4 linked regions of the Schizosaccharomyces pombe genome follow. The protein of the gene in region 1 purifies or fractionates together with the protein of each later gene. This does not show direct contact. Each region holds a gene or a part of one and is shown in the gene's direction. Other genes may lie near its edges.

The links.
Region 2: the proteins of dli1 (region 1) and syp1 purify together in Schizosaccharomyces pombe (affinity purification with mass spectrometry, with the first as the bait; one study listed by BioGRID). This does not show direct contact.
Region 3: the proteins of dli1 (region 1) and SPOM_SPBC19C7.04C purify together in Schizosaccharomyces pombe (affinity purification with mass spectrometry, with the first as the bait; one study listed by BioGRID). This does not show direct contact.
Region 4: the proteins of dli1 (region 1) and sec10 purify together in Schizosaccharomyces pombe (affinity purification with mass spectrometry, with the first as the bait; one study listed by BioGRID). This does not show direct contact.

The regions. Positions count from the first base shown.
Region 1 is NC_003424.3:4,733,833-4,740,661, reverse strand, and holds dli1 (meiotic dynein intermediate light chain Dli1/Dil1), read left to right. Parts: upstream 1-1,764; 5' UTR 1,765-1,807; coding exon 1,808-1,883; exon of another isoform or gene 1,884-1,921; coding exon 1,922-2,065; exon of another isoform or gene 2,066-2,107; coding exon 2,108-2,332; exon of another isoform or gene 2,333-2,378; coding exon 2,379-2,473; exon of another isoform or gene 2,474-2,514; coding exon 2,515-3,057; 3' UTR 3,058-3,181; downstream 3,182-6,829. Other genes in the region: phosphatidylinositol 3-kinase Pik3, read right to left, coding at 1-425; TTT co-chaperone complex LRR repeat subunit Tel2, read right to left, coding at 3,194-5,800. UniProt on the Schizosaccharomyces pombe protein: Component of the cytoplasmic dynein which acts as a motor for the intracellular retrograde motility of vesicles and organelles along microtubules. Promotes oscillatory nuclear movement and efficient pairing of homologous centromeres during meiotic prophase.
Region 2 is NC_003423.3:3,120,354-3,128,515, reverse strand, and holds syp1 (cytoskeletal protein Syp1), read left to right. Parts: upstream 1-1,794; 5' UTR 1,795-1,814; coding exon 1,815-1,856; intron 1,857-1,897; coding exon 1,898-4,312; 3' UTR 4,313-4,514; downstream 4,515-8,162. Other genes in the region: DNA-directed RNA polymerase I complex large subunit Nuc1, read right to left, coding at 1-617; tif306 (translation initiation factor eIF3f), read left to right, coding at 4,710-5,618; alpha-1,3-galactosyltransferase Otg2, read left to right, coding at 6,112-7,230; alpha-1,3-galactosyltransferase Otg3, read left to right, coding at 8,159-8,162. UniProt on the Schizosaccharomyces pombe protein: Multi-functional protein that contributes to the endocytic process, but also to events that occur at the neck during cytokinesis.
Region 3 is NC_003423.3:2,824,751-2,831,152, reverse strand, and holds SPOM_SPBC19C7.04C (uncharacterized protein), read left to right. Parts: upstream 1-4,480; 5' UTR 4,481-5,086; coding exon 5,087-5,461; 3' UTR 5,462-5,902; downstream 5,903-6,402. Other genes in the region: protein Rcr1, read right to left, coding at 512-964; cyr1 (adenylate cyclase), read right to left, coding at 6,067-6,402.
Region 4 is NC_003424.3:2,179,877-2,188,335, reverse strand, and holds sec10 (exocyst complex subunit Sec10), read left to right. Parts: upstream 1-3,866; 5' UTR 3,867-3,959; coding exon 3,960-4,022; exon of another isoform or gene 4,023-4,068; coding exon 4,069-4,147; exon of another isoform or gene 4,148-4,200; intron 4,201-4,368; exon of another isoform or gene 4,369-4,376; coding exon 4,377-6,411; exon of another isoform or gene 6,412-6,467; coding exon 6,468-6,569; intron 6,570-6,612; coding exon 6,613-6,769; 3' UTR 6,770-6,886; downstream 6,887-8,459. Other genes in the region: SPOM_SPAC1783.01 (methionine synthase reductase), read right to left, coding at 1-782; zf PARP type zinc finger protein Hpz2, read left to right, coding at 2,785-2,864, 3,054-3,471; mpd1 (thioredoxin family protein), read right to left, coding at 7,173-8,264.

The DNA.
Region 1 (6,829 bases):
TACTTCTTTATTTCTTTTGAAGTCTGTAAAGGTATTTTTTGGAGACCTTGCCTTAGTAAATTATTTTCATCAAAAAGTCGATACGTTGTACAGCCCACAAATTCATAGACTTCCTCATCATTAAAGGATGGTTTCCAGGCAGACACTACAAATTTTGCGTTCAATGAGAGCTCAGAAACGGTAACCCCAAAGTCGAGCCACTCATGAGTTGATATCTTAGAAAGCTCAGTAGGAAGTAGACTCTTATTTGGTATTTTTGAAACGAAACATTTTTGCATTAAAGATCCTGATTCATTCCCTGAAAACAATTGAATGGTGCAAATGCATGGTTCTTGACTATCTTGATATTCAATGAAGCAAAATTTAACCAAGAATCTGGCAGTCACCTTGCTTGAAGGACAATATGAAAAAACAAGTCTATCCATTCCATATGTAAAGCATTTATTTTTTGGAAATTTCACTTTTTACCATACAAATAATAGCCTGGGATTGTTAATGTGGTGGTGTACTAGCTTTACTAAATGTGGTAAGACAAGAAAGGCTGTAGCTAAAGTACACGAAGCAATGATGAATTATAATACTGTGGAATTTAAGAAATACTTCGTAAAATAAGTACAAAATGCTGAATACGGTATAATAATAATAATATCTCATAATCTACTACACAAGTGTTTTTGCTGTAATTTTTGAAATACAAAAAATAGGACGCATTCATCTCTACATCTCGATGTAAAGTCAAGTTTTGAGTGTCTGAACATAACACTGTAAGCAAAGCTTGAGGCGGAATAAATGGTAAAGCCGAAGAAGCTAAAACTGCTCTGAATAATTGATCACCTATACCCTCTATGCGCTAATGGTGTTTTATGTTTTGTGTTTGCTCACATTGAATTAATTATTTTTAGTTTTCAAGCACCGGAACGACTAGGAACTAAGCAACAATTGCTGCTTGGTTAACAATACGATCAACTATGTGGTTCATTCAACAGCACATAATCTTTTGCAATAATTGATATAAATTCACACTTTCTTGAAATATAAAAAATACAGTTTTATGAATTAACGTTGTTGTAAAAGAAGACCTAACAATTTGCTTAAAAGTGAACGTAAATAACATTAAATGATAAAAATGAATGTTTTAATATTTTATTTTATCTGGTAATTTTTTAAAAAAATAAGTTCGATAAAATAACAAGCCTGTAGATTTACTGTCATATATTCATATAATATTCGGAGCAAAAGCATATTAAAAGTCTGATAATTTTAAATTTTTATTTAATTGTAAAATTTAGAACGAACTAATTATTAATCTTTCATAATAAAACTAATTATTTTATAGAGGCCCTATTTTAGTATCAGTTTATAAAAAATACGTGTCTGCGTAAACCAGTGGAATTTTCTCATAAGATTTTCCTGTTTTTAAATTCATAAAAAATTATATTTAAATCTTAATTGACTTCAATTTGCGGGATTCTCTTATCGGTCGCTTTTGCAAATTTATCGTGAAAGTGACTCAAAAGCTGTTGGCATTATTACTTCACCAATTTAAAACAAAGTTGAGTGGGAATTTTATTCATTTATTTTAATTCTATATATTATGAAGATTTTGCTTTAACCTCGGGCAGATACATTATTAAAGAATATGTCTAGCATACTAGTACTTGTAAAAATATAACGATTTTCATTGTATTATAATAAACTTGAGATCTGAACTTCGTCATCTAAATGATCCCTTTTAGCTAAAGTTTAATCGTTTGTCTTTGACTTGTGCCTGAACACTTTTATTAGTGAACTACATAAATAATTGCATATGGATGAATTATTGGAAAAGTTGCTAAACGATCTCAAAAAGAAGGAACCGAAAGCATGTAGTATTATATGCATAGGTACGCTCCATATTGAAATTCTTATTTATCATGAATAGGTGAAGACCTCGATATTATACAATGTATGAACGAGCACGGATGTTTTAGCGGGGGAAGTTATTCAGAATTATCAAATGATTGTGAAACTGTAAATTTTCGAGGAATTGCTTATAAGTGTTTCTTTACAAAGGATCAAGTGAAAGGTACGCGATTAGTACGATTAACCAATTATCTCATGCTGCTAGTAAACTTTTGGCAAATTTCACATTTAACTGGTGGACTATTCAATTTTCTTGTTAGTCAAGCTTTAAACGAGCATGGATTGGATCTGTTATGGATAATAATGGTCGTAGCGCAGACTCTTTCCGCGTTAGTTTCCTTTCCGGAGAAGTTATTAAATATACTTCGGAATATGAAAACAATTCTTATAAATACCGAGGAAACTGTGAGGAATCGATTTGAAGAGTCTCGTAAGATTGATTGAACTCAATTATCCTGTTAACTGATCTGCTTTAGAGAACAAAAAACTGGTAGCTTTACTGGATAAGAACTCGACAACATTGGATATAAGTAGTGGTATTCTACTAAACTTTACGGTTGTTCTGAAACAGGTAAGATACCCTTGAATACTTGCACATTTACTAATTTGTAGTTGAAGCATGCTTTAGGCTTGCATACCTCAGTCGATAATTCACAGGAATTTATTTTACAGTTTTTGCGAACGACACTTTTATCCGTACCAACGTCCTCAATTGTTTCTATCTCAGCGGACCCAACAAGCTGGAATAATCTCAACGTTTTAATGAAGTATAATTTTATGTTTCAAAAGTTTAAACCTCGAGATTTTCATGCTCAAACAATTCAATCAGAAACTATGTTTATACCTCCTTGTTGGGACACTATCTCTAAAATACAGAGTGTCAATCATGAATTTAATATCGCCCTTTTTAAACAAACCGCTAAAAATTTTTACGATACTCTTGACATAAGTTTATTACTTGGTTTATTTGATAAGAGTATATCGATGTTGAACTGTCATTCCTCAAAAATATCGGATGGAGATATACCCTACAAATCGCACCAAGTTTTTTTGCAAGAACTACAGAACAAGTATAGCGAGATTAAAACGTATTCTTCAAACAAATTAAATAAATCCTCCATAAAATCAAGTTTGTGGAAGGACTTAATTCAATAATTGTAATTGGCCTAAAGACATTCATTATTATTACAAAATCATATTATTTAATTAAAATGCATTAATGAGTTTCTGTCAAAATTTCAACCTCATAAATAATATTTTTTTTCTTTTAAATCATGACCATAAAGAACTATTAAAGTCCGGCTAATCCAAATCGCTCTGGAACCAAAGGAGCTGAGTCATCCAGTAATTTTTCCAATGCGAGCGTTCTGAATTCTGAAAGTTTATTTTCAAATAGAATTAAAACAGCTGCTGAGAGTGACTTAACTTTCTCACCTTGATCAGGGCTTTCAAAAAGAAACTTAGTATACGCCTCAAAGAAGAGCAAATGCTTCCCAAACTCATTAGCTAAAGTACGCCCAGAAGATATTTCTAAGATAGCCAAAAAACTAAACAAAAGCCCTTCATTAACTTCTGGAGTGTCTGATCGAAGTCGGCAGACCTCATTTAAAACGTCAACATATTCCCGGAGCATTCTGTTTGCCCCTTCTATCTTTGAGGTAAAAGTTTCAAAAAAGAGAATACCCAATGTCTTAAGATAGTAGACTAAAAACAAAGGCTCAATAAAAGCCGTTTTCCTAGATGCCAGCATATAACCACTGGTGAGGAGCAGGAACAATGATTTATCTACCTTAAGCGATAATCGATTGGCCTTTGGGAGTGGCTTTTTCGACTCGATTTCCGACTGCTTTGAAATATACCGTGTCTGTAAGAATTTCGGTCCCTCCGCATAATCCTTGCATTCACTCATTACCGGAAAAACTAATTTCCTTTCTAATTCATCACTAATCTTTTCAATAGTGGGTGAATAAAACTGATCGTGTAAATTTCCTGGAAGTAACTGGCTGGGAAAAAGACGTTCATTATCATCATCGTTGAATTTGCTAGCAGCTAAAGAAATACAAGATAAGATAAGTATTTTTTGGCGCATTGAATAGTCACTAACAAATAAATTTGTACAAATAACAGGACCACATATATCTAAACAGGTTAACAGAAGTTCCACTATAGCAGTCATTTGCATTTCATCAAAGTTCATTAAGTCAAATCGATTTTGTAAGGAAATTAACGTTTGTAACAATTCATCTGCATGATCTCGTAATTCGGTTCCAAAAGCAGACTTTCGTTTTATTAACTTAGAAGCGTTTTCCAGTGCAACACGTTGTTTCTCAAAACTTTCTGTGTCTTTTAACATTTTGCACAAATCTTGTACGTACACAGGAGAATGCGTCTTGGATCTAGAGACAGTTGGATCGTCGTCCGTGTCCTCACTGTCAATATCAGGAAAATCGTAAGGCTCCAAGTCATCTCCCCTTATTAAGTCATCGTTTTTAGAAATCACTGGCTTCTCCAAGTGAGTTACATTCGTCTCTTCCTTTTCTATCGAAGTCTCTGCGATAACACTTTCGTCATTCAAAATTTCAATAGGCAAAAATTCATCCTTGAGTGAGCTCAACGATTTGAGAACTTTTGCTTTCGTAGTCTTCATTATTGGAACGTCAAAGGCTAACGGGTTACTTAAGCTGACACCCGAATATGTAGAGATTACTTCGGCCATTATCATTCCATGCATTCGAATATCATCATCTAGACTATCTAAACGGCAAGATATTGCATTGGAGAACATTAGGGATTTGGAAAGATTATTCAAATATTTTGCTTCAAGTTTCGGAATAAATAGTAATAAATATATTGTTAAGCTCTCTTGAGCTAGCAGCGTATAGCTCCTCAAAAATTGCGCATTTGACCATATATTAAACAGAGAGTCCACTGTTTTTTCTAGCTCCTTTTTATCAGATTCCTTATAAGATATACTCGAACAAACTACTTCTACCCTTTTAATTATTAAATTTGTAGGGACGCCCCAATAAAATTCAATTAATCGAAGGAAGTGAGTGGATGAAAAGTTCAGCCTTAATAATGTAGCCAATGAACCTGTTATACGATCATCTCTTGCGGTGGAATATGAAAAATTGGTGGGATATTTGGTATTATGTTCAAGAAGAAGTTGATTGAGAAACAACATTTGATCAGAGACCGTCAAATCTGCAAATAATTTTTGTAGCTGAACACAAAATTTTTGTGTTAATGGAATCAATGGGTTAATGAATGCCTTTAAATTGGATGAGTGTAATAAATAATGGAATAGCTTTGAATATATTTCTGGGGTTTTAACAGCAGGTTTAGATATAATGCAAGCCAATTTTGAAGATAAAACGCCAATGTAGTCGGCCATTGATGAAGCCTTCAAACGTTTTGAATCATCGTAAACCTTGAAGGTAAGCATTGCAGCAGACATTGAATTAGTAATTTTAAAGTTTCCCAAGAAAAAAATAAATTCAGTCCACAAAGATTGCTTTTGATGATCAGATAATACAGTAGATTCCCATATCAATTTACAGTTATCGTCAAGGTCTATACATTCAAATGCTTTTTCCAGTAGCTCAAGATAAACTGTAACAAGATGAATGTTTTGCAAATTAGCCTCTTGAACAAAATTATCTAGTCGAACACATAGCAGTTTTAAGCCCAAAAGAGTAGAAAAACATTTTGCAAGGAGAAAATCTATTTCTGAATTAATTTTCCCATTCCAGAATGTGGGCACTATCACACTAATTAACTCATGATATAATCTTAGATTGCAAGGAGAAGGAACACCTATATGCTGCAGTTCTTTAAGGATTTCTTTTAAACGCGGCTTTTGAATAGGTTTGGATAGTTCGCTAGCAAAGGATTTCATATCCTTGGAGTTGAAAAATAACCGAATTATTTTGGGGTGTTGAGAAGACAGTAACCTTCGGTGGATTAATTCACCGGTCAGCAATCAGCAATATGCAGGATTATAGGCTGCTTGGCTAAAACAACACCAAAACTCTTTACAAAGTATATAGTTATTTTTAATTTGTTGTCCATGTAAATTACTTTAAATTCTATTAATTGTTTTTCATTCTATAAAGGTAATTTGAACTCAATTCATATAGTTTTTTAAATTGTGCTCTTAAACTTCCTGAGAATGGTGTATGCAACAATTACATGGGTAGCATCGGGATATTCTGTGAAACCTGTAAAGCTCTTCGATGTATTATTTTCACGGACTTTTCACAGCCTGAAATTGAATAGGAACTTACAATTTACGTGACAGAAAAAGGATATTATGTATAATTTAACTTAAAGACATTTTGTGCTTATATGCAATAGTTGTAACAAAAGAATGGATAGTTATGCTTTCAAATTCGCTTTCTATAAGTGAAGTATCCTGTTGCTTTATAAGACTAGTTGCAATATTTCTATTTGCTTTTAAAAAGCAAGTAACTTTTAGTTTAAAACTGTTTTTGTGTACCTCCCAAATTAAATGTTAATGCTCCGCTAATCGGTAAGCTAATCCGTGAGAAAAAATGCATTAATTTTTCTTGTTTCGTTCAAGTCAACACATTGCAAATAAAGGTCACTAAATTTACAATTCAGGATTTTTAAATTGAAATATTAAACATAATACGTGGACGAGTGCAAAAAACTACCAGTTTATTTAAATAAATAAAAAAAAAATATCATAACATGTATTATCGTAATCTTTTCCTTAGACTGCTCTTCACACGATGTCTGAATAACCGTCAACAAAAAGCTATTTATAAAAATTTCAGAAACAGGTAGTCTCCTTCACAGCACTGCGAACGAAAACTCTAGGGAAGCAAAACAAACGGAGTTTATCTGCCTTGTTATATACTCGTTAAACGACAACTCAACACACACCACTATCCACCACCAACAA
Region 2 (8,162 bases), on another chromosome or scaffold:
AGTGTAGTCAACTGAGCATCGATATGAGCGTTCTGGCGTGAGTCAGCAATAGACTTAGCAACGAATTCATCGCGAATGCGCATAAGTGTTGCAGCATCTTTAGCAATATCATCGTGTCCAAGACCACTGTCCTCGCTGTCACTTCCATCTTCAAGTGGAGTGCCGTTAGAATTCTTTATGATTGCCTCAGTAAGACTGACATTCTCCACCATCTCTGACTCATTTAAAAGACCATAATCAAGCAACTTGAGTCTACAAAAGAAAAGATGAACCTTGACTTTTGAAAGCTTGAAATGATGGCAGTACAAGCAAGTTGAACGTAATAAATTGTACATTTGAGAAAAAAATAGAGGGTGATATGCAGGAATAGGAAGTACTATATGACCAAAATGACCAGGGCAGTATCTTTCATCCAAATGACATGTAGCGCAAACAGAATTTTTTAGATATGGACCCAAAGCAAGGTCATATAATCCGCCGTTAGTAGGGTGATTTAAATTGTCAAGCAAAACGGGATTTACGATTTGTTTGACGGATATTTTTTCGACATCGTCAACATCGTAAATCCCAAACTTCACACTTTTAATCTCCGAAGAGACTGGCTGTGCAATATTCATTGTACTATTTTGCTTTTGTATACAACCGGCACATGCAATCCGCCCACAGACCTATTTGGTTCTGTATGAAAAGAAAATTTCCTTAGACTGTAATTTGCTAAAGTCCGGTGAAATGCGTTACAATGTGCATAGCTGTGAAGCTTCATTACTTATTTTACAGCGCGTTATATACAATAACACACGTAAAATTTTTTGGTAAACTACAAATTAGATATTTTAGCGCATCGGTAAATTTATAAACAAACCGAAAAAACCGGATTATTGATGCTAACACGTTACGATGTACTTTCATTGTTACACGGTTAACATATTGACCACTTAAACCATGGCATTATGGTTTCATTGTCGTAATAAAAATAAACTGGAGTTATTTAGAGAATTCGTACTGTATGCGAGTGGAATGTTGGTATCAATCAACTGACTTTCGTTGCTTACATTTTATTAGACTTCACTTCAGATAAAGTGCCTTAATAGTCTAACATGTGTTAGGATTTCTGATCTTGGTCTCTCTTCATTTTTAAATTTAATTGAATTAAAGCCATTCTCAATGTTTTCTGCTTACTTACCTTAAGTAGCGAAAGAAAACTTTCGTTTATAAGCACTAGTTAGTAAAATTCATCTATGGTAACAATATGGGTTTACGAACAATTATTCATATTTTTTGTTGATTTTTGAACATATCTCCTTCTTTTTTATACTATGGAAGTTGTTACTGACTTTTTCTCTGCTCAAACGTATGTTTTCGAAAGAATAGAAAAAGGTGCGATAATAGTAGTGAGAACTCAGATTTGAAATTAGCGTATGTTGAAGGCTTAAAAAAATTGAACGTTTCAATAGATTTCACTACCTATATGTTTTTATTCAAAAACTTGTGTTTTTTGAGAAATCGTTAAGCGGTTCGAATATGTGTTGGTATATTGGGTCACTTTTCAATTGAAATATTTTTGAGACTAATCCATAGTATTGAGCAGCTAACTAGTTAATAATCGATTAATTTATTTATGCATATTTCGGAAACATCGATATTGATGTATGTAGAAATGAAAATTTTGCCTTATTAAAAATATTTTCTTATGTCTTCATAACAGCCATCTAATAGCAATACTAATCATCCTCCATAAACAATTTGTTTTGCAATTTTGGAATAAAGTGTCATGTATCGAGTCGCATTCCCCCTACACTAACCACCACCACGCCATGGAATCATTGACGAAAACGGAGTATGTAGATGCGTTTTTGGTAAGCTTTATTTTAGCTATTTCCTTCTTATTAACAAATAGTCAAACTACTCTCCAAACGACAGCATGTCGATCTTTCGACAGCGCCTAGAGCAAGTTCGCCTAGACAACGACATGCTTTCGCAGTGGATTCGTGAGCGAATGGATATTGAACGGCAATACTCAGATCAATTACATAAGCTTGCAATGAACATGCAAGAAAAAAACAATTCATCGTTTGCTTTTAATTATGCTTGGAAACAGCTCGAGGGAGAAACCCTTGAAATTTCAAGATATCACAGTCAAATCATTGGACAAATAGCTTCGCAAGTTTATAAACCTTTGATAGATTATTATACTTCTTCACCACAAACGGCTACGCTTAGACGTTTAGCAGAGCGGTTATCAACAGTTGCAGAGGAGATGGCATCGTCTTCTGTACCTGGTCTGAAGGGATTAAAAAAAAAAGGCCGTGATGCGGATACTAAGAGTCAGAATGATCTCACTGCTTCTCGTGCAACCTGGGATTCCGATGCTCCTTTAGCGTTTGAAAAATTGCAAATTGTTGACGAGGAACGCCTCCTTATATTGAAACAAGTTTACCTGACAATTGCAAGTTTGGAAACTGATACGGCTCTTAAACAGCAAGAATTTTTTTCTAAATCTATGGCAGTTTATTCTGATCTACCTATTGAAGGTGAAATCCGTCAATTCATGAACTCCACATCGAAAGTTATGTCTTCCGCATCTGCTAATAAACCATCTAAGTCATCGGGCTTTCACATAAACAATGGAAAATCTAAAGAGGAAAAGAGTCATGGAGAAAATGAATCTGGTGGTAAATTGAAGAACAAAATGTCCACGTTGTTTCGTCGGAAAACCATAATGCCTAAAAAGGATAAGAAGCCTTCGCATAAATCTAATGGTCGCCCTAATAAATTAACTGCTTTTTTTAATAAGAACTCCAAAGCTTCGAGTATTTCGTCTGCTGAAGAACACCCATCGAATATAGATGATAGTTCAATCGAACGAAGACATTATGATTCCAATCATTCTTCACAAATTCGGGATCATCCCTCTACTAATAATAACGCTTCGTCTTATCAAAACTTTAATGAAACTTCCGACGAGGGCGAGGACAACGATGCCACTATTCGTGCAAACAATGTTCGCTCATCCTTTTTGGAGGCTCCGCTACCTGTGCAGCCTAATGTTCAAGCAGAAACGGTTACGCCTAAGATTTCCTCCAAGGCTTCCCCCTTTAATAAACCCAATTCTGTGCACTCTGAAGCCTCAAGAAATACCCCTTCATCGATCGATAGAGAGAATGCATCACATTCGAATCCTATCATGATGCATGGCAATGATTTTGGTGGGAACTTTAACAACATGCAATCACGATCAACAACAACGTCTCCCACATCAGCGGTGGCTTCCCCTGCGCCTACTGAAAACGAGGATAGCAATGCTGCAATTGAAAGGGTAGCAAATACTTTACGAAAGAATCCCACTATATCAAGAAGGACCCGTCGTGCTGGGACAATGGATCGTTATGCTACAGCATCGTCTGACTATATGGAATCAAACCTCGGTAGCTTGCCCAATTTGTCTACTTTATCATTACAATCGGGACCAGACTCGACTGCAACATGGCACCCTGAGTTCCCAAATTCTTCCGGGCTTTCTGCTTCAATCGTCGAAAAGTATTCTGGTGAATTATCTGAAGATGGCCTTCTTCATCCTTCCTGTTCCGGTCATATATTCATGAAATATACCTCGGATTTTAATACCCCTCCTCCTGAAATGGGTGTTCGCGTTGCGTCTGAATTTCCTATGTCTTTTACTCATTTAAATGACCATGCAGTAAAATATGGACCCTCAGAAAACACACTTTCTTTAATACCAGAGCTACTTCTCTCACCAATCAAAGTCACTGATTTTAATCTACATCTTGATAGTATTAACGGTGCTAGTTGCATTCCATTGACAGTTGTTCAGAAATGGAAGCATGATGAAAGCAGTAGTAGTATGATTGCATTTGTGAAGCCTAATCCTGTGTGGAGGAACTTAGGCTCATCTCTTCATATTGAAAAACTTGTTATCATCGTTTACTTGGGGGAAAATGTCCTTGTAAAAAGCTGTCAAAGTTCTCCGGCCGGAGAATTTAGCAGGAAAACTAGTAAACTTAAGCTACATCTTTCGAACATTAATATATCTTCGTCTGGATTTAAAATTTTAGCCAAGTTTGCGATTAGTCCTAGTGCTGCTATTAGAAAGCCAGTTATCGAGTTCCGTATTCGCATGGTTGATTCCTCTAATAACCCTGGTCTCACCAAATTGTTTTTGAAACCAGATATGTTTGATACTACTTCTTCTAGTGGAGGTTCTCAGCTAGAAAGTGCTTATGAAGAAACGAAGGTTCCTACTTCCTATGGTATTCATGTTCGTGAGTGCTCTGTTTTTGCTGATATGAGTTAAATTACTGTTCATTATTAGTCAAGAAAAAGCAAACTGCTTTTTTGGGTTTTATGTTTACACTTTTTTGCTAACCGAATTTTTTGAACATTGTATATATATATAAATGATTTTTAACCAGAGAATGTACAAATGTAAATAGTTATAGAATTTTGAATAAAGAGTTTCTCATTATTGTACGTACAAATGAGACATTGTTAAGGAGATTTTTTAGATTATTCAACGCAACTGAAAATACACTTTCTTAAATGGTAAACCTTAGAAGTTAGGCGAAAAATAGTGTCTTCAATTTAACGAATTCTATGAGACTGTAAACTAGTACAGTAAAATTATTATTGATTGGGGAACAATACCAGATCTACCTACCTGAGAGTAGCCAACAACGTGAAAATTTTAAAAAATGGCTTTGGGGACTAAGCACGTACTCCATCTCACAAAACCGTCTTCCAGGTCAAGTCCTTTGAACATTGTCATTGAACCAGCAGTGCTTTTTTCTATCCTTGACCATTCAACCCGGAAAAGTGAAAATAATCAACGTGTTATCGGTACACTTTTGGGAACACGTTCTGAAGATGGCCGAGAAATTGAGATTAAAAGTTGTTTTGCAGTTCCTCATAATGAGAGCAGTGAGCAGGTAGAAGTTGAAATGGAATATCATCGTGCGATGTACCATTTACACCTCAAGGCTAACCCTCGTGAAGTTGTCGTTGGTTGGTATGCTACTTCTCCTGATTTAGATGCTTTCAGTGCACTGATTCAAAATTTATATGCTTCTCCTGCTGAACCCGGAACTGCTCCACTAGGAACGTATCCTCATCCCTGTGTTCACCTTACTGTCAACACAGATGTTAGCAGTCCCCTTGCCATCAAGACTTACGTTTCTTCACCAGTAGGTATTACAGAGCGCCTTGCTGACAGCTGTGCATTCGTCCCTACCCCTTTTACCATTCGTGATGACGAGGCAGTCCGTTCTGGTTTGAAAGCTGTAGCTGCTCCTAAGAATGACCCATCTAGACTTGCTAGCCTATTCACAGATCTCCAGCAACTTCGAAGATCAACCTTGGAGCTTTTATCTATGATTGAAAGAGTTTCCGATTATGTGCAAAACGTAATTGATGGTTCTTCGCCTGCTAATGTTGCTGTCGGTAGATATTTGATGAAGTGCTTTAGTTTAATTCCTTGCGTAGAAGGCCAAGATTTTGAAAAAATTTTTTCATCACATCTTCAAGATGTTTTGGTTGTAGTTTATCTCGCAAATACCTTACGTACTCAAGTGGATATTGCTTCCCGTCTTAATTTGCTTCCCTAAGCAATTGTTATAACCTAAAAAATCCGGACAATTTCTAACAGTTGTTCGATAGCCCTTTTTTCAAGTCACCGTTATTTTATCCTTTTTTCACACTGGCTGTTAACCCTCAGTGGAAGCAACTGTCTTTATCTCGTCATTCACCCATTTCGACATAGTTTGAGTAGCTTAGCTTGTCGGTAACTATTTAGTATTATACTATAATTGGTTTAGGTTAAACGTCTTATTAAATAAGAGAAAATTTTAAGTCAGAGTCATGTATCTTAACATTTCTTATAGTTAAAATAGTAAGCTTGTTTAATTTTTAAACATTTGATGTTTTTACGTTATAAAGTCGATTTAATTATGTTATTTGTTTTTCAGGGTGTTGAGTTTGTTTTGGTATTGAAAGTAAGCAAAATGTGTATGATGCACCAACAAACATTAAGGGAGTATGTAGAGTAATTCTCTCCGAAAGCACCACCATTTTATAATTTGGCAATCAATTGCCATTAAAATGCGTTTATATTTTAGTGCTTTTCGCCATCCCAAACGACTAGGACTGTGTTTACTGATTACCTTGAGCATTATTTTATTAGGTTGGCAATGTGTTTTGCTATACAATCATAGTCCAGAAATACAAAGGTCAGTTTACACACTGACAGGGTTGGCGCCCTCTTCTAAGATGGCATTTGTAACTATGCTTACTGTACGCGCCGCTAATGGGGAAAACGAAGTAGAAAATACGCAACAGGATTGGTATTATAATTCAACTAGGCTTCTCGTTCACCGACTTGTCAAATTTAAACCTACGAAAAGCAAGTATCCCGTTGTAGTGCTAGCCATGAAGGGAATTGATCAGTGGAAGCTTGATCAATTGCAGGAAGACGGAGCTATTGTTAAAGTAGTCGATCCACTATATGCTCATGAAGTGGTTGACGATGTCAATGACATTGCCCTACTGGATTCCCGATGGAGTATGATGTTTACCAAGTTGAGAGTTTTCGAAATGTACGAATATGATAGAATATGTTTTCTTGATAGTGATATTTTGCCTATTAAAAAAATGGACAAAGTTTTTGATGTTCACCAACTCTCCTATAGTAAGGATTCTGTTCTGTTTCCTCCCACCCTATTCTACAAGCCTAGGCGCAGCATTTTTTGGAGACGCTTTACAGAAGAGTTTGCAGCTTACGGGCTGACAAGAGACGATCTTTATCCCTACGTTTTCGCTGCTGTGTCCGATCCAGGTATGTGGCATGAAACTCCTCCTCCTTTTAAAGATTATTTTAATGCTGGTCTATTCGTCTTTAAGCCATTGAAGGCACATTATAAAAGGTTAATGGCATTAGCAAGGTTTCCAAAATTGTATGATAATGCAAACATGATGGAGCAAAGTTTGCTAAATTTTGCATACAATTCAGCAGGTGCTTTTCCATGGGAGTCACTTGATTGGACTTTTAACGGACTTTGGGCTAGAAAAAATGACTTACCATATCTAAAAGCAGTTCATGGAAAACATTGGCAACCAGAAGGAAGTCTAGGTTATGATGAAGACACATCCAAGCTATGGTGGGATGCGTTTCAAGAAATGCAAACGTATCATGACCAACAACGTAATGCTGATTTATATTAAACAGATGAAAGCAATTTTCATGTCGTGATCAAGTAAAAAATAAGGCGGCTTTTGACTTTTAAGAAGCAGTTATTTTCATTTAATGTATTGCTGACAACACGTACTGTTGAAAGGCTATCTCATTTTTACAGTCATTCTAAAATAATTTGTGTTTCCTCCGTCCTTTTTTAAAACCACTATACTATTCAAATTCATATACACGATCGATGGGATTCTGGATACAGGTAAACCATAATCAAAAAAATAGCTTCCTCTCTGTATGCAAATTAGATCACGTATGTTTAAAACTCACTGAAAGTTCAATGGTTTCAAGAAATTTTGCTCCTTCTTAAAAAATTCCTAATTAGTGTAAAGAATCAAGTGTTAGTCCTATCATCAATTTTAAAATTGTAAGCAAACATGTTATAAATGCTTTTTCTTTGACCAAAGGAAAACCAACGGATTTATATAAAAATTGCTAATTAGTGAGCATACGTATCCTTAGCATGTTTTTCATTTTTAGATTTCAATAAGACATTTGAAAATGTTTTAGGTAGCAAATCTATTTAAAAGTTGTTTTAAATATATATATCAAAGAAGGCTTGGTTTTAGATAGAGTGAAGATGGGATAGAAAATATCAATAGCAAGTAATTGATAAATTTTTTAAACCTTTTAATGTCAAATAACAAGTACTGTAAACTCAAATAATCTTAAAATTTTACATGAAAAACTATACTTCGTACGCATTACATCGTACCTTTAGTCTCCTAAATTGTAGTCAGCCACTACCAAACTCAATAATACAAACTACATTATATTTATTGTATTAAACCTAGCAAGTCTTAACGAGATATAGTCAGTTATAATCCTAGGGTTTTTATTATTCTGGTGGGGATTTTATAGCTATAAACGAAGTTGCGGAAAGCGATAAAATTTGCTTTATAGAATATGA
Region 3 (6,402 bases), on another chromosome or scaffold:
CAATGTCTAACATAAACTTCACCAAAAAAAGTACTATATAATAAAAACCGAGGGAATTAGTTTAATTAACAGAAACAGTAAAAAGTATTAAGCTATTAAATCTCTTATGCTTGCTTTTTTATAATTTGAAGAAAGGACATTAAATATAAAAAAAGATAAGAAACGGAATAACATAGAGTTAAAAAAAAAAGGAAAGAAATTTAAAATCAGAGATTAGCAAAGGAGGAGTAATGTGAGAGAAGAAGCCTACAATTAGGAAGTGAAGTCAATTTATTAGAGCTATAATTCATGATTAAATCACCCAATGGATTGTGCATGTCTAGAGGAAAAATGCTCCAGATAAATTGACTAACACATATGAACATCAACTCTAGAAAAGAGCCGCACGCCATCCATATGAACAAACAAGGAGAGAGATTAGAAAACGCAAGAGTTCAGGCAAATGGGAGGAAAACTATGCAATTCCAAAAACGATCTAGATGTACAAAAGAACTGCTTTACCTGGCGACAATCACCCAAGCTTAGCATATCCATCGTATTTGCGAAAAGCAGCATCTGAAGTAGCTGCCGCTTCTGGATAAGCAGGAGGGGGAAACTCGGAGGATGTTTCGTAAGCTGGAACGGTAGGAGGTTCGGTGGGAGGAGGACGATAAGCTTGGGACATGGGGGGCATCGGATTATGTATTGTTGAGTTATAACGGGCTTCAGGTTCGGCTGTATAAGGGGGAGGAGCAGTGAGAGGATAAAAATTGGTGAATGGAATAGTAGCTTGTCCTTTTTTAGTACGACGACGATTAATGATACCGATGATAAAGAAAAAGAAAATCAGTGCAGCAATACAGATGATCACCACTACCCAACGACCATAGGCTGACCAGGGATATGAATTGGTTTGAACAATGGTGGTTCCACTGCTCCCGTCACTGGAATCGCCGCTGCTACTGCTGCTGCTATCGTCATTCATTATTTAACAGAAAAAGAGAATGTGGTCTAAAAATTTTGAAAACAAACTAAAAAGCGAGAACGAGAATGAAAAAACACCACTAACAATGGCAATACTGCTGTAGAAACAGGGCTTGAAAAACACCACAAAGATACAAAGTACAACAAGGAACACAACGATAATAAGGCCTCAGAACCGTTCTAACAAGATGTATGACCAACAATAATCAAAATTGCACTGATGCAAATATAGGCAAAAGAAGAGTTGGCAGTAGGGAAACACTAATCGTTTATGGCTCAAGTGGTTCTATTATTTACAAGAGGTAACGATGTAAAAAACAATCAGATGTGTTTGTATATTTGATTTTGAGAAATAAGAGGAAAGCAAAACACAAAACAGATTGGATGAAAGAAGAAAAAAAAAAATTGGTTTTCCTAAAGTTAGAATAATGCAGGTTGATGAAGATAAATAATGTGATTTACAAACTGTGCATCTGAGCCACCTTGTTGTCGCATTTTACCGAAGGCGATGGATTAAGGTGCGTAAAGTTGGGACAAGCTAACTTAGTCGACACGGCTGACCAGCTTGGCTGGGCAGGTTTGAAAATCTTTGTTCTAAACGTAAAAATGCAAAGTCATTTATCTGTTGACTTTCAGTGTTGATTTAACTTTGAATATCTGTTTCCATTGTAAATTTTTGGATCGCCTGCTTGTCTTGTTTATTGGCGCTCGAGTGTATTCATTAATTAATCACTAGCACATAATAGAAGATGTAACAAATTATCAGATGAATAAGAAATTGAAAATACTATAGTAACATTGTAGTACTATCGCAATACATTACAAACTTGAGACATCATATTGGTGAATTAAAATTAAAAGCAAATATGCAAGTTTTGTAATTGAATGTATGGACGACACACATGTTCGAAATTTACCAGTGTAAATATGATGAAATTGATATACGAATGAACTAGCTGCTATATAAATAAATAGGAAAAGGCGGACGAAGCGATGTAGTCAATTAGTGGTAATAATATTTATTAGCAAAGAACATTTTCGAAGTCATGATATTATTTCATTTTTGTGAGAACCAAAAAACTTTTGTAATTCAAAAGAAGAAAATATGAAAGGAGTATTTTATAAGTTTAAGACCCAAATTCCACGCTGTGTAAGCGTAAATAGATTTTTAGCTTTGTCTAAAGAGAGAGGTTACGAGGTTATATTTGAAATGTACATTTTAAAGTCATAGTTTTTGTTATTTGCTTGAAACGTACAGAATTGAATATTAAATTTTAAGATACAAAGATGTTTCAATATATTTTATCCCTTGTTATGGAGAGTAATTCATTTATACTTATTTGTCTAGAAAAGATAATGTTCTAGTAAGTAAATGAAAAGAGATACATGTGCGAATGGGAAAAATACAATACAGCTCAAGAAAAAGTAAATGAAAATAAATAATAAAAATAATAAATGAGAAACTACGTTAATTTGGAAAGAAAATGAGTAAACAGATATTACAACTAAAACGTAGATTTTAAAAAATAAATAAATAGAATAAGTATGAAAATTAAGTAAAATAGTAATAAATATATGAATGTATTGTAATAAAATTTATAAAATAAAGATACATATTAAGTATATGAGCAAAAAAGGAGTCGTCAAATTATAAAATAGTTATTCCTCCTTTATAATGTTTTGTTTAATGGGATTTCAAGTTTCCACTTTCATGGCGCACACAGACATCTTTGTTTCTTTTTACATATGGCTTCCAAGTAACGTTAAGAACACTATCTCAACAAGTAAACCAAAAAATTGTTGAAAAAAAATGTGTGTGTGCCTCCTTTGAACCATCTGCGATTGGAAATTTCACTAAGCCACGAAACATCTTATTAGGTAGTATTGAAGGATTTGAGAGCACTTGAAAATGATGCGTGAAACAACATCGTCCCAAAACGTAAGTGTTGCTAAGTGGCTTTGGTACTCGTTCTGTACAACGAGCGACAAATGATCTGTAAGTAGCGAAATCAAAAATTCGCAATGTTGAAAAGCCTAGACATGATGATTGATGAATGTGCGTAATATGAAAATATCCAAGTCATGTTCATTGCATATAATAGATGGACTCTATAGCAACCTTGCTTGTTAGTGTAAGCCTCTGACAGCATCAGTAGCGAAATGCCTAAAAGTTTAAAAAAAAATTCCGACATTCAGTAAATACACGCATGAGACAGTCGAAATGTGTAAGAGTCAAATGAATTTGTAATTGTAAATGTTTATGTAAAAACTAGACAGCGCAAAATAACATCGTAGTGGAACAACATGAATGAATATTTTTTTATTTTGAATGGGTTATTTTTTTTATTTCTTAATCTGTTTTTAAGGAAGTGAGGAAAATTTTCCGTTATTAGTTTATTCTTTTATATTCATTTCAAGTGGTTTCTAATTGTACCATTTTAAATCCTTTCAATTTAATTTAATTTATTGATTTATTTTTTTTTTTCAATTCAAATCTTTTTTTTTTAATTTCATATTGTTTTTATTTATTTTATTTATTTTTTTATTTATTTTTTTTTTGAGTAATAATCTCATCCGCTTGTTTTCGGTTCTAAAAGTTGCTTAAGAAGCCGTCTATTCCATAATCAACAGCGATAACCGCACCAAAATACCCATATCGTCCTCGTTTCCTCTCTCATCTTTTTCACATTTTCACATTAGAAAAGCATATGTTTGGCATTGGAATTACAAAACTTCTCCATCTCCTTGCTTTCCATTCAATTTATTGTTGATTCCTTCCTTTCCATGCAAAACGCCGACCTTGCCGCTTGCCGCATGCCACTACACTGCGCAGTACTGCACTGACGTACAAGGGACAATCCGGAATCCGGAATACAGAATACCAGCGCGCCACGCGTTACAAGGATATTGTCCAATGCACTCTAGGTTTTTTGATCCAGCACACAGAGAAAGAGAGAGTTAATGGTAATATATATCGCAATGCTGGAAACAGTTCCGTATTAGGCGCAAGCATACCCGATGCTTGAATAAAATCCTAGCAACTGATCTTCCAGTGAAACATGATCGACGACCTATAAGTTGCTCGTTAATTTCATCAATTCTCATGCAATTCCCTTTCCACATTTCCATCCTTACTCCTAATACTAAGACCCCATCAACGTTTACTATGTTTACGCCTCTTAACGAAAGGTAACGAATTGCGCCTTTCTCTCTGTCTATTGTCAGAGATCAAATTCCCTAGGCAATCGAGCCCCTAATGCGATTTTTCTAGATGGACATTATGACCAGATATGGTACTTGATAATTAGGTTGTTTATCCCCTGAGGGCCTAAGGGATCAGTTCAAATGAGACGTGATGATTGGTTCGATTAATACATCTCTATCTGGCTCTGCGCGCTTAATTACATCATTTTCAATTAGTCGGGACATCGCAATAATGTCTGGAGAGAGCGATACGGCATGGCTGTGCCTCTTCAAATTTCCTATAAATGGCAAGGGAAGCTCTCCTTGGATCCTCATAGACATATCGCTATCCATCAATTTCTTTTATAGCATTCGTTGAAGTGTTGTAGTGTTGTGTCAGATTTGATACGGTTCTTATAAATTGTAAACATCCTTTGTTTCTATCCTCTTTGTCTGTCTCCTTTTCTGTATTTTATCTCAACTCGCAAATTTTTTTAGCGAGTTGTAGAGCATTGGGTTTATTTCATTAATTCGAATACCGAGCATCGGTTGGAATCGTAAATTTCCTCGTCTAATCAAATCAATCGTATTTGAAAGATTTGTTTATTTACTTTTGGTGCATTGTAAACAAACAACTCCTTCTCAAGCCAAAGTCCTAGCTTGTCCACTGTAAATCGTTCGAAACAGCTAAAAGCATAGCAAGGTATAGAAGAAACATTTGAAAAACATTTGAACACTGCGTCAATCTTTGTTTTGCGGAATAGGGTCTTGCTTTTGTAATTTTTTATTTCAATTAGATCCATTATCTTCCTCTCAAAATACCATCTTTCCTACTTGCTTTCTTCAACAGTGATAGGAAGTAAACCTTTGTGCGTCTTTGCATCCATTCTTTTTTTTTTTTTTTTTCGCGGTTTAGTTTGATTAGCTTTGGATAGGGAAAATGACTGAAGTTACTAAAATCAATCCATCAACTGCCATTACGGAGCTTGAGCCATATGAAATGGCTCAAACTAACAAGGAAGTACCCACCACTTCGCTACTTTCGAAGGATTATTACGGTCATTCCATTGAAGAACCCGATGAGAATAATCCCACTCGTTGGCGCTATGAACGTCCTCTCGATACTGTTCGTGCTTGGCAATACTTGATTGATTGCGATGAAAATTTCAAGACTAAACCTCACCGTGAACAGAATCAATATCGTCCAACCGCCGATTCTTTCCGACCACTTTCGTTTGCCAGTATGGAAAGCAAGTTGACTCAACGTCTCTCTCGACATCTTTCCAAGACATCTTCTCGTCATTCTAGGCTTTAGACTACTATTGTTGAAGCTCCGTCTTTTTCCTTATTTTTTTTCTATCTTTCATTTCTCAAGTTTTTTTATACCGGGCTGTCAAGTGTTTTGATTCCAATTTTGTTTATTTAGTATTTTTATTGCTTCATTCTTTCCAAATTTTTTTGCTGTATTTTTAGTTTAGTTACGATCTTACTCTTACGATTTCTTTTTCATTTTTCTTCTATTTTGCATTTTTTTTTATCTTTATTTGGGGTTTACATTGTTATCAAGTGTTATACCGAGTTTCCCCCATTGTGTTTTTTTACTCCTATACCATTTTGCATGAAAATTATTTTATTTCGTATTTCTTTAATACAATTTTTCTTTTTTTTTACTTTTGTATCAGTCTACTGTCGTTCCGTTGTTCAGTTTCTTATTGTTTACTAATAGTAAATAAAAGTTGATTTGCCTCGAAACACGTACGTTAATTTGGTATTCCATAATTCCAACTTTAGGGTATAGCAAAAAAAAAAAAAATTTTATTAAAAATATGCAAATTATATATACAAAAAATAAATATATATATATAAACTATTTATGGGGTTAAACATTATTTAAATATAGCAGTCATTATATGCATTCATTTAGCCAGTGTGTCCAAGCATTTGACTGACACAATAAATAGTATTCTCGATACGCAAAGTCAGACGGTAGAACAATGAATACTCCTCGGCCTGGTTTACGGGAGCTGCCAGACCGGTATCGCAAGGCGGTGGTTCAGGAAACCCATGCAGTATAGCGGCATGGTCTTCAAGACGCTCACAAAGTTCATAAAGTAATTGATACTGTTGGTCATCAAAAATACAACCTTCATATCCACCAGTACTCTCTGATGGTGATACGTTGCGCAAGGATGAAACCGATCTCTTCCCAGAACCACCCTCCTCTCCATGGACAGATTTTGAATCACTCAATCTTGC
Region 4 (8,459 bases), 2.6 Mb from region 1:
GACGTATAAAGACAACGTGGCTTATCTTCTCCCCAGATAGTGGGCCATCTTCCTCCATTGGTCCGAAGAACTTTAGTAACATACAGCTCGTGCTGAGGTATCTTCAGTAAGTGTGCTAAATGCAAGACTTCAGCATCTGAATTGGGAGGCATAATACCAAAGGAACCTCCTATTTTCCAATCTTTCCCTTCAAGTAAAGGGTACTTCGAGATATCTAAGCATAAATTATAAGTTCTTTTGACAGCACCAGGGTTAGTGAGAACTCGTACATCAAGGATAGGGGCCGCAAAAATACCATATGGAGGATGAGGTTGTACAAAAGAAGGAGGATGAGGAGAAGTAGGAGAATCAGAAATAACGGTATCTACAGGAGGATTGGAAATAGAGGGGATGCCCAGGGAAACTCGTTTTGGAGGCAAAGGATGGGGTTTTAAAGAGGGCCAATGCTTTTGTAGATCGGAAAGTTTAATAGGAAGAGCTTGAAAAGCTGAATTATTACAAAGAGCTTTCAGTTGTCCATTAAATTGGAGAAACGAGGGTACTAAAAATTGTGATGAAGGAGGCGATTTTGATCCATGGACTAGCCCATGAGAATGATTGCTGTAATATCGAGAGTTAAGTAATGTCCTTGGTAGATTATATAGCCTCCTTGAGAAAGCTAACTCATCGTATGAATGGAAGGAACTTTGAACAGAGCATTTCGGGAAGTATTTGACAAAACATTTATAGCTAGTCCGAACCTTCAAACAAGACGTATCCTTAACGAGTACATGAGAAATCATAGTATAGGAACGATGAGTTGAGATATGGAAATGATATTTTTGTAAATGTCAATTCAATGAAGTAATTTCCAAAAAACAAAACAAAACTGCGGATAGAAACAAGAATAATCGTCTCAAAAAGCAAAAAATAATTGGAAAGAGGTATAATGATATAAAATAAATCCACTATTGGGAAGAATAATACATAACGGGATGGGCAAAAGTTTCAAACGGAAACTTGCAATTCAAACACCAGTAAGTTTTTTTGAGCCCGGTGGTTGATTCCTATATTATACAAACCTAAGAAAATACAAAATTCACTACAAAACTAGCCAAGTTTTCATAAACTGGGTGATGTGACAAAGTTGGTGAAGATCAGATAATTTTGTTGTACACAGAGCCAAAATTGCAAAATTACCGTGTAACAATGTTTGTTCATATTTAATGTCAGCTACGCAGTTTGATATCTGCTTTAACGATACGTAAACTGCGGTGAGTTTTCCTTGTGACCTATTATATTACGAAACGCAGGTAATATAAGTAGCGACTGAGTACAGGTATTATACTATCTAGGTTATAATGTTACCTATCACTAATACAGCTTATAACTGAACTGAGGAACGAGGTTCAGCAGTACCCTATTTATGGTATTCAGATAACATAGATTTTAATAGGTTGTCATTAAGATTAATTTCAATATCGTATCATACATGGTACGATGAATGATTAGGACATGTGCATATGGTGATGCTCAACGCAATGTATTATAACACAACTAGCATTGCTAACCAGAACAACGAATCATAAAACACACCGGTATTTTAGAATAATGCAAACATTACAAGCACTTGAGCAAAAAGATGAAAAAGAAAGGTATCTTTTTGAACAATCATTCGAATGGAGTGCTTATATGTCAAAGGTTTATATTTCATTGTACTCTAATACAACAAAATAAGAAATTCTAATAAAATTGTCTTCGTCTTTTTGTTAACTTGATCTTTAAAGCTAAACGCTTTTAGTAGCAAGCACTTGGCATTGGATCAAATTCAATTGGAAAATCATCAGAGTACATGAAGATATTTCGGTCCACTTGCCAAGTTATTAGGAACAATAATCAATTAAGAGACCTGATATATTTAATTTAAATAAACGAATGAAAAAGAAGATGCTCAAAAGGAAATAATGTTGATTAAGACCTGACAAAGCACCTATTGTAAAAGAACCTGCAATTTCAAAAAAAAAGAAAAAAAAAACAACTTTAAAGATGAAAGGAATAAAAAAGGCTCTTAAAGCGCAAATGTTTGACAAGATTTGAATGTATAATCTAGAATTCCCAGCTCTACACTATGTAGCATGATGTAAGACAAAAATTATCAGATCAAGATTGAACGCGTAAAATTTATCCAAAGATTCAAGTTACTTCATACTAACTAGAATAAGGTCTGATATTTCACGATTTATTTACTTATATTGATTTTAATCAACTGTTTTTTTCATCGAAGAGTTCCTTTTGATAGAAATTAAACGCTACTACGTTACTGGTATAAAATCACCCCTTGTTGTCAAAACATCGGGTAGCAATCCCATCCACCATGTAGATAATACACTGTAAGAAGGTGTTCGTTTGCTAATCATGGCTTTCAATGAGTCAATGTTACACGCTATATCCTTTATACTGTATTCGGGGATGTTGTTATTATCTCTATAATAGCTAAGAATTGGCTTAGTTTCTTTTAAAGCTGACATTAAGCAAAATTGGCATTTCCCTCGAACTAATTTTAAGGTTAAGATATTGAAATATCTTCATATTTTTGGACATTAGCTTTCTACTGAGAAATATCATCACGAGTTTCTATCTGTTGGAATCCCCATATTGTTTTTTAAACAAACTTGAGAATCAGGAGCTGCATTTATCAAGATTGATCATAAAATAAACTTAAGTTTTGTAATTTTATTCTATCTTCAGTTCAATTCGAAACATTAAGAAGTATTGAAGAAATTACAGTACGAACATTGCACATTAATGGAACAGGGTGGAAGTGGATATCGCATAGAAATTGCACCCAACAACCGTGCAAAATGCAAAGGCTCTTTATGTGGTCGGTAAGGTTTTAGCATAAACTGAAAACAATTGAGATATGAGCGCAAATTCAGTACAGCTGATGGTACTTTCGATAAAATTGCTTCATTTGTTTTTAGCGATTTCGTGGCAGGCGATTGGAAACCATCACAGAACGCTATTTACATGTCTAATATTGTAGAGATATTTCTTTTCTACTGACAAAAATTTAGGTCAAAAATACTGGCTGGAACTGTACGATTCGGGACTTTTGTGGATTCTGGTAGATTTCAGAGTTGGGCATGGAAACACTGGGGATGTGTTACTCCTAGAATGTTAAAAAACATAAAAAACAGATTAGGAGAAGATGACATTGTCAACAGTTTAGATGGAATTACCGCTCTTTCACAAGAATGGATTGATAAAGTTGTTGATGCAATTAATGAAGGCCATGTTTCAGAAAGTGATGAACGTGAAAGTAGAAAGCTCGGAGAAAAAATGAACGTTAATTCACAGAAATTAAAAACTTCCTCTCCTCCTAAAGTGGTACGTAAAAACAAGAGGCATCACACAACTGTAAAATCGGTCCTCAGTGATTCCGATTTGGATGCTGAATTTACTGATGGATCAGAAGCTTATGAAGATGATTGAAAATGTTTACTTTTTTTTGCTTGTTCGTGGAATCGCATTCTGTTTTTTAATTTGTCGATTTATTATGAAAGAACTTATCATGACGAAGAAAAGGATGAATGTGTATTATCCTTCACTATTTAAAAATTCATCCTTTATCACAATCTTAGTGATTAAATTACATATTTTTGTCTGTTGAATCAAACCGGATTTTGGCAATTTTCTAGAGATGATCTGGTTTATGTTTAAAATATATTGAGTAGCTGTGTCAGAGTAGTAGAAAAAATAATTATGAAAATAAATATGAGCAATTAGTTTGTACCATTATATAAAAATTGGACCTAATTAGTTTCTCATGACACGTTCGGTTTACTTATTTCACTTATGCTCTCGCTATGACCCACTTCATAGAACCTAGTGATAACCCATCACCTACAAACCAAAGGAAACTTTGATCATTACTTTTCTATTCGAGAATTGTAGATTTAAAATTTCTTGTCTATTAAGACATGTCTACAAAAAACGCGTTGAATGATTCCCAGATAAAGTTATTAAATTCTTTAAATGACAATGTAACCGAATCCCGTTTTTGCCCTTTTCTCAACTAACAGATTATAGAAAGGAATTCCTTCTACCGAGTTCGTAGAGAAGTTTGCTGAGTCCCTTTACGAGACCCAAAATGATGGTTCTAAAAAATGTAAGTTAATATTTTGTTTTGTATCGAAACCATTTCCTCTTCATTCGTGTCCTAAGTATTTCAAAAGCTTTTTTTTAATCGCTGGAGCTTATTGTTATTTTGGGTTTACTTTCGATTTATGGTTTTCCTACTTCTGTCACAGTTATAATAGCCCAAAAAAATAATACCTCGAATACTATACGTTACATATTTTATTATATAGGTATGATTTACTAACAGAATGTTTCAGTATCTTCAATTGATGGGTCTATCAAATCATTTGCGGCATGCCTTCATGAATTGAATCGGCTAAAGTCTAGAGTTGGTGATAGGATACGTGACTATGCTTCAGCATCAAAGCAAGTTCAAAATGAGTATCACCAGAAATCTAATCATCTACGTGAAAAATTTGCACAGGTCCTCGAATTATCAAGGCATTTGGAAGATAACGTTAATGACATGCGCAGCGGTTTAGTTGATGCTGGCCAAGAATTAGAACGGGCGGAAAATAACCGTAAAAGAATTTTATCTTCAGCAGAATTGTTGAGGTATTATTTGGAATTTCGGTCTGGAAAACCACAAACCCTCATGGATTTTTTTCGTACCAATAATCACGACAAAATGCTATTATGTGCGCAAAGGACAAGACAATTGTTAGCGCTTGCTAATGAAGTTGATCTTCCTGATTCGAGCGAAACGCTGGCACGAATTGAAAAATTTTCCGAGTTTTTAGAGACAAATTTTTTAAAATTTTTTAACAACGAATACAGAAAGCCCAATTGGAAGGGTATGGCATCTTTTGGCACCATACTTCAGGAGTTTAATGGTGGTGCATCTGTCGTACGTGAATTCGTTAATCAGCATGAGTTCTTCATTGCTGCTGATAAGGTTCAATCTCGTCAAGGTTTAGAACAAGACCCTATATGGCTGATTTTGCCAGATCCAACGCAGAAAATACCACCGCTAATTCAAACACTATCTTCTTTATTTAGTGAATTATGTTCTGTTATAGAAGGTGACTGCGCGGTCATTAAACGTGTTTTCCCTAATCCCGAATTGGTTCTCCAAACTTTCTTTCAAAGAATTTTTGGTCAGTCTATTCAAAATAGGTTAGAAGAAGTGATGGAGATTGCTAAAGGGAAGTCAAACCTTGCATATTTGAGGACACTCCAGACAGTTGTTTCTTCTTTAAGAAAACTTGTTGCCGATCTTAAAACGATTTTAGAAAATCGAGGGTTTTCGGTATCCGATAATTCCCCCCTCTCTCTTGCTTTAAATCAATATATGGAAGATTTACTGGTTCCGTTTATTGAAGTTGATGATTATCTTAAGCGTGAGGAACATTCCTTACGGTCTTTATTTCGACTAAGTTTATACAAATATACAAGCTACAAAATTCGCTTAGAAACTCCAGAGCCCGGTCTGTTAAGATCACTGATGACTCCTCTACAAGGCAATATGGTTGCGCCTACCGGAGTCCATTCCCAATTTAATACAAAAACTGAAGGATTCCTTTTGAGGATTGCTGACATTCAGGAAAATCTAATACAAAGTGGTTCATTCATTACTGAAGACTACATTACCATTGAAAAAAACCATAGCCATCTTAATTCGGAAAAAGTATATTCATTTATTGGCTGGCATGCAGAGGCTTTAAATAGGGCGTCTATCTTAATTTCAAGCCAAGATTTGTCAGTTGTAATATCTTCGCTTGTGAACCTTTTGGATAAACTGATACGCGAAGATTATGTATTCAAGGAGCTTTCATCTATACAATCATACATCTCTTCACATGATAAGTCGAAAAACTTGGATCTTCATTACCTAGTGGACATTAGGGAATGTAAGAAAATTATGGGATATTTTTCTGCATATTTAATGTCAATAGTGATTCCGTTTACTGGAGTGACCGCGTCATCTCGAAGAGAAACGGTTAACATTCTAAGTTCCTCAATCTCCGTTATTGAATGTGCCGTTAATGATGTATTTTACGCGACCGTGCATGCACTAGGAGACCATTTGGAAATTATTTTAAGTCCGTATAGGCAAATTTCTTATGCTATGACAGAAGAACAAATTGATTCTTCTACCGAGCTTCGTCAATCAATGACTAGGAATGTTCAAAATTATTTAGATTATATAAAAAACCTATATCATAGATTAGGACCTTATGATCCCTCGTTATTGGCCTTAAAACAAAAGACGGCAACAATGCTTGCTGCAATGCTTATAAGTTTTGCTTTTCGTTCCAAAGTCACAGCGGCTGGCGCTTTGTTGTTGCAAAAGTACGCACAATTTTTTGTTTTTTATCGAAAGTGATTAATTTACTGACTTTATCTAGTGATATTAATTTTTTCCATTCTACTTTGACTAGTTGGGGAATTGATACCGTTGATGCGAAATTTAAGTTGATACTTCAATTATTAAGTTTACTTATGGTCAAGTAAGTGAATATCTTTTAGGAGAGAAAGTTTGTTAACATTTAGAATTGACGTTCTTCCAGCAGTCATGCAAGACAAGCGTAAAGCAGGTTTTAGTGAAATGAACATTCATGAAGTTCTCCGTCTACGTTTTGATTTGCCTGAAAACTTGAAGTTGCAACTGAACAAAGAAGAAGCTTTATTGCCCCCAAAGAGCAGTTGAAATCGCTCATTTTTGTTAATGTCTTAATTATGAAGTAATTTGTCTATAGATAAACATAATATCTTTTATAGTGTATTATATAAATAATTTTTTCTGTAAAGAAAATCGTTCTCAAACTTTTTATAAACGCTTTATTTAAGTTTCATTTAGTGAATCTGTATTTGAAATATAAAATTAGCAAGACGAGCATAATAATTCATTAAAGGAAGGAGACAAAAAGGAATTATACGAATGTATAACATCTTTATTTTAAATTAAATAAAAAATAGCTTTTAAAAGTGCTTAAGCTTCATGTAAAGGAAAGCTTCACACAAAATATAAAATGCAATGACGAGAACGAGTGAGTAGAAAGAGAGTAACATATTGTACTGCAAAGTGCAAAATTACATTACAATAAGTGTGTTTATTTAATCTTTGATAAGAGGTCATTTGGCAAAGACACTGAAGGTCCTGCTTGTTGTACTTGGATATCTTCCAACCAACGGCGTAAAGGTTTTCCATAGGGCTTAGCATTATAATGAGATTTCTTAAGACTGAGAAGAAAAGTGTCACTATAACCAAGGTCCAATGTATCTTCAAGTCTTTCGGCTACTGTTGTATTTCGACCAAGACGTACAAAGTGAAGTTTTGGGTACTTTTTCCTAATAGATTCGTCTATTCCAGAATCCGAGTCCTTATCCTGAATTGTAATAATGCAGGATTTTTTTGAGCAAAAAGTTGCTAAGTATTCTGAAAAATTATTATCTTTAATTGAAGATTGTAAAAATTCAACAATAGAATCCCGATTTAAGGAATTTGAAAAAAAAGATGTTCCATTGTTGGGGTGTTTTATGAATAATATGGGTAAATCGGAGGTGTCAACATACGCAGAAATATTGAAAAGATCATTCACATTAGCTTTTGCAGGCATAAATGAAAAAGGTAAGCTCGAGAACTCATTTGAAAGAGATTTGTACAGCAAAGTCGGCTTCATTTTTTGAGAAATGAGAATTACCTTAGAGGAGTTTTGAGCATCTTGGATGAATTTTTGAGTTTTTGCCTCAGAAGTCAAAATTTTGACTTTACTGGGAATAGAATCAGAGACGAATTTTTGGAGAGACTTGTAACTTCGATCACCGTTGTAATCAGTAGAGGAAAGAGAAGATCCTTTGGAAGATGGATAAACCAACTTTATAGTGGGAAAGCCCTGTACCTGGTATTGAGAGCAAACGGCCCTATTCTGATCAGCATCACAATCGACAGCAGTAACCGGCAAGAGTGAATGTAGATTGCTGGCTAATTTTTGGTAAGTAGGTACAAGCTTTTTGCAATAACCACACCACGGAGCATAAAAGACAACTAAAGATGGGCCCTTTGCTTTTACAAATTTACGAAAATTTTTGGAATTTAACTCAATCGTGTTGGATCCAAACATTGGTGAGTAGCCAAAGACGCCGGATACAAGGCTGAAGCAAGCCAAAAAGAGCGTAAATAAAGTTGGAATACGGAAGAGCATAATGATGTGTAGTTTGTCCAGCGTATTTTTAAGGGTAGTAAGGTGAATGAAAGAAAGGAAAATGAAAATCGAAGAAATAAAAAAAAATAGAAACCGTTTGGCGAAAATGAAATAAGAAATACGTCCTAGCTACAAATGATCGATGCAATGGGAAGTAGTTGGTGAATGGAAAAATCGAGAGGTTTACGGCGACAA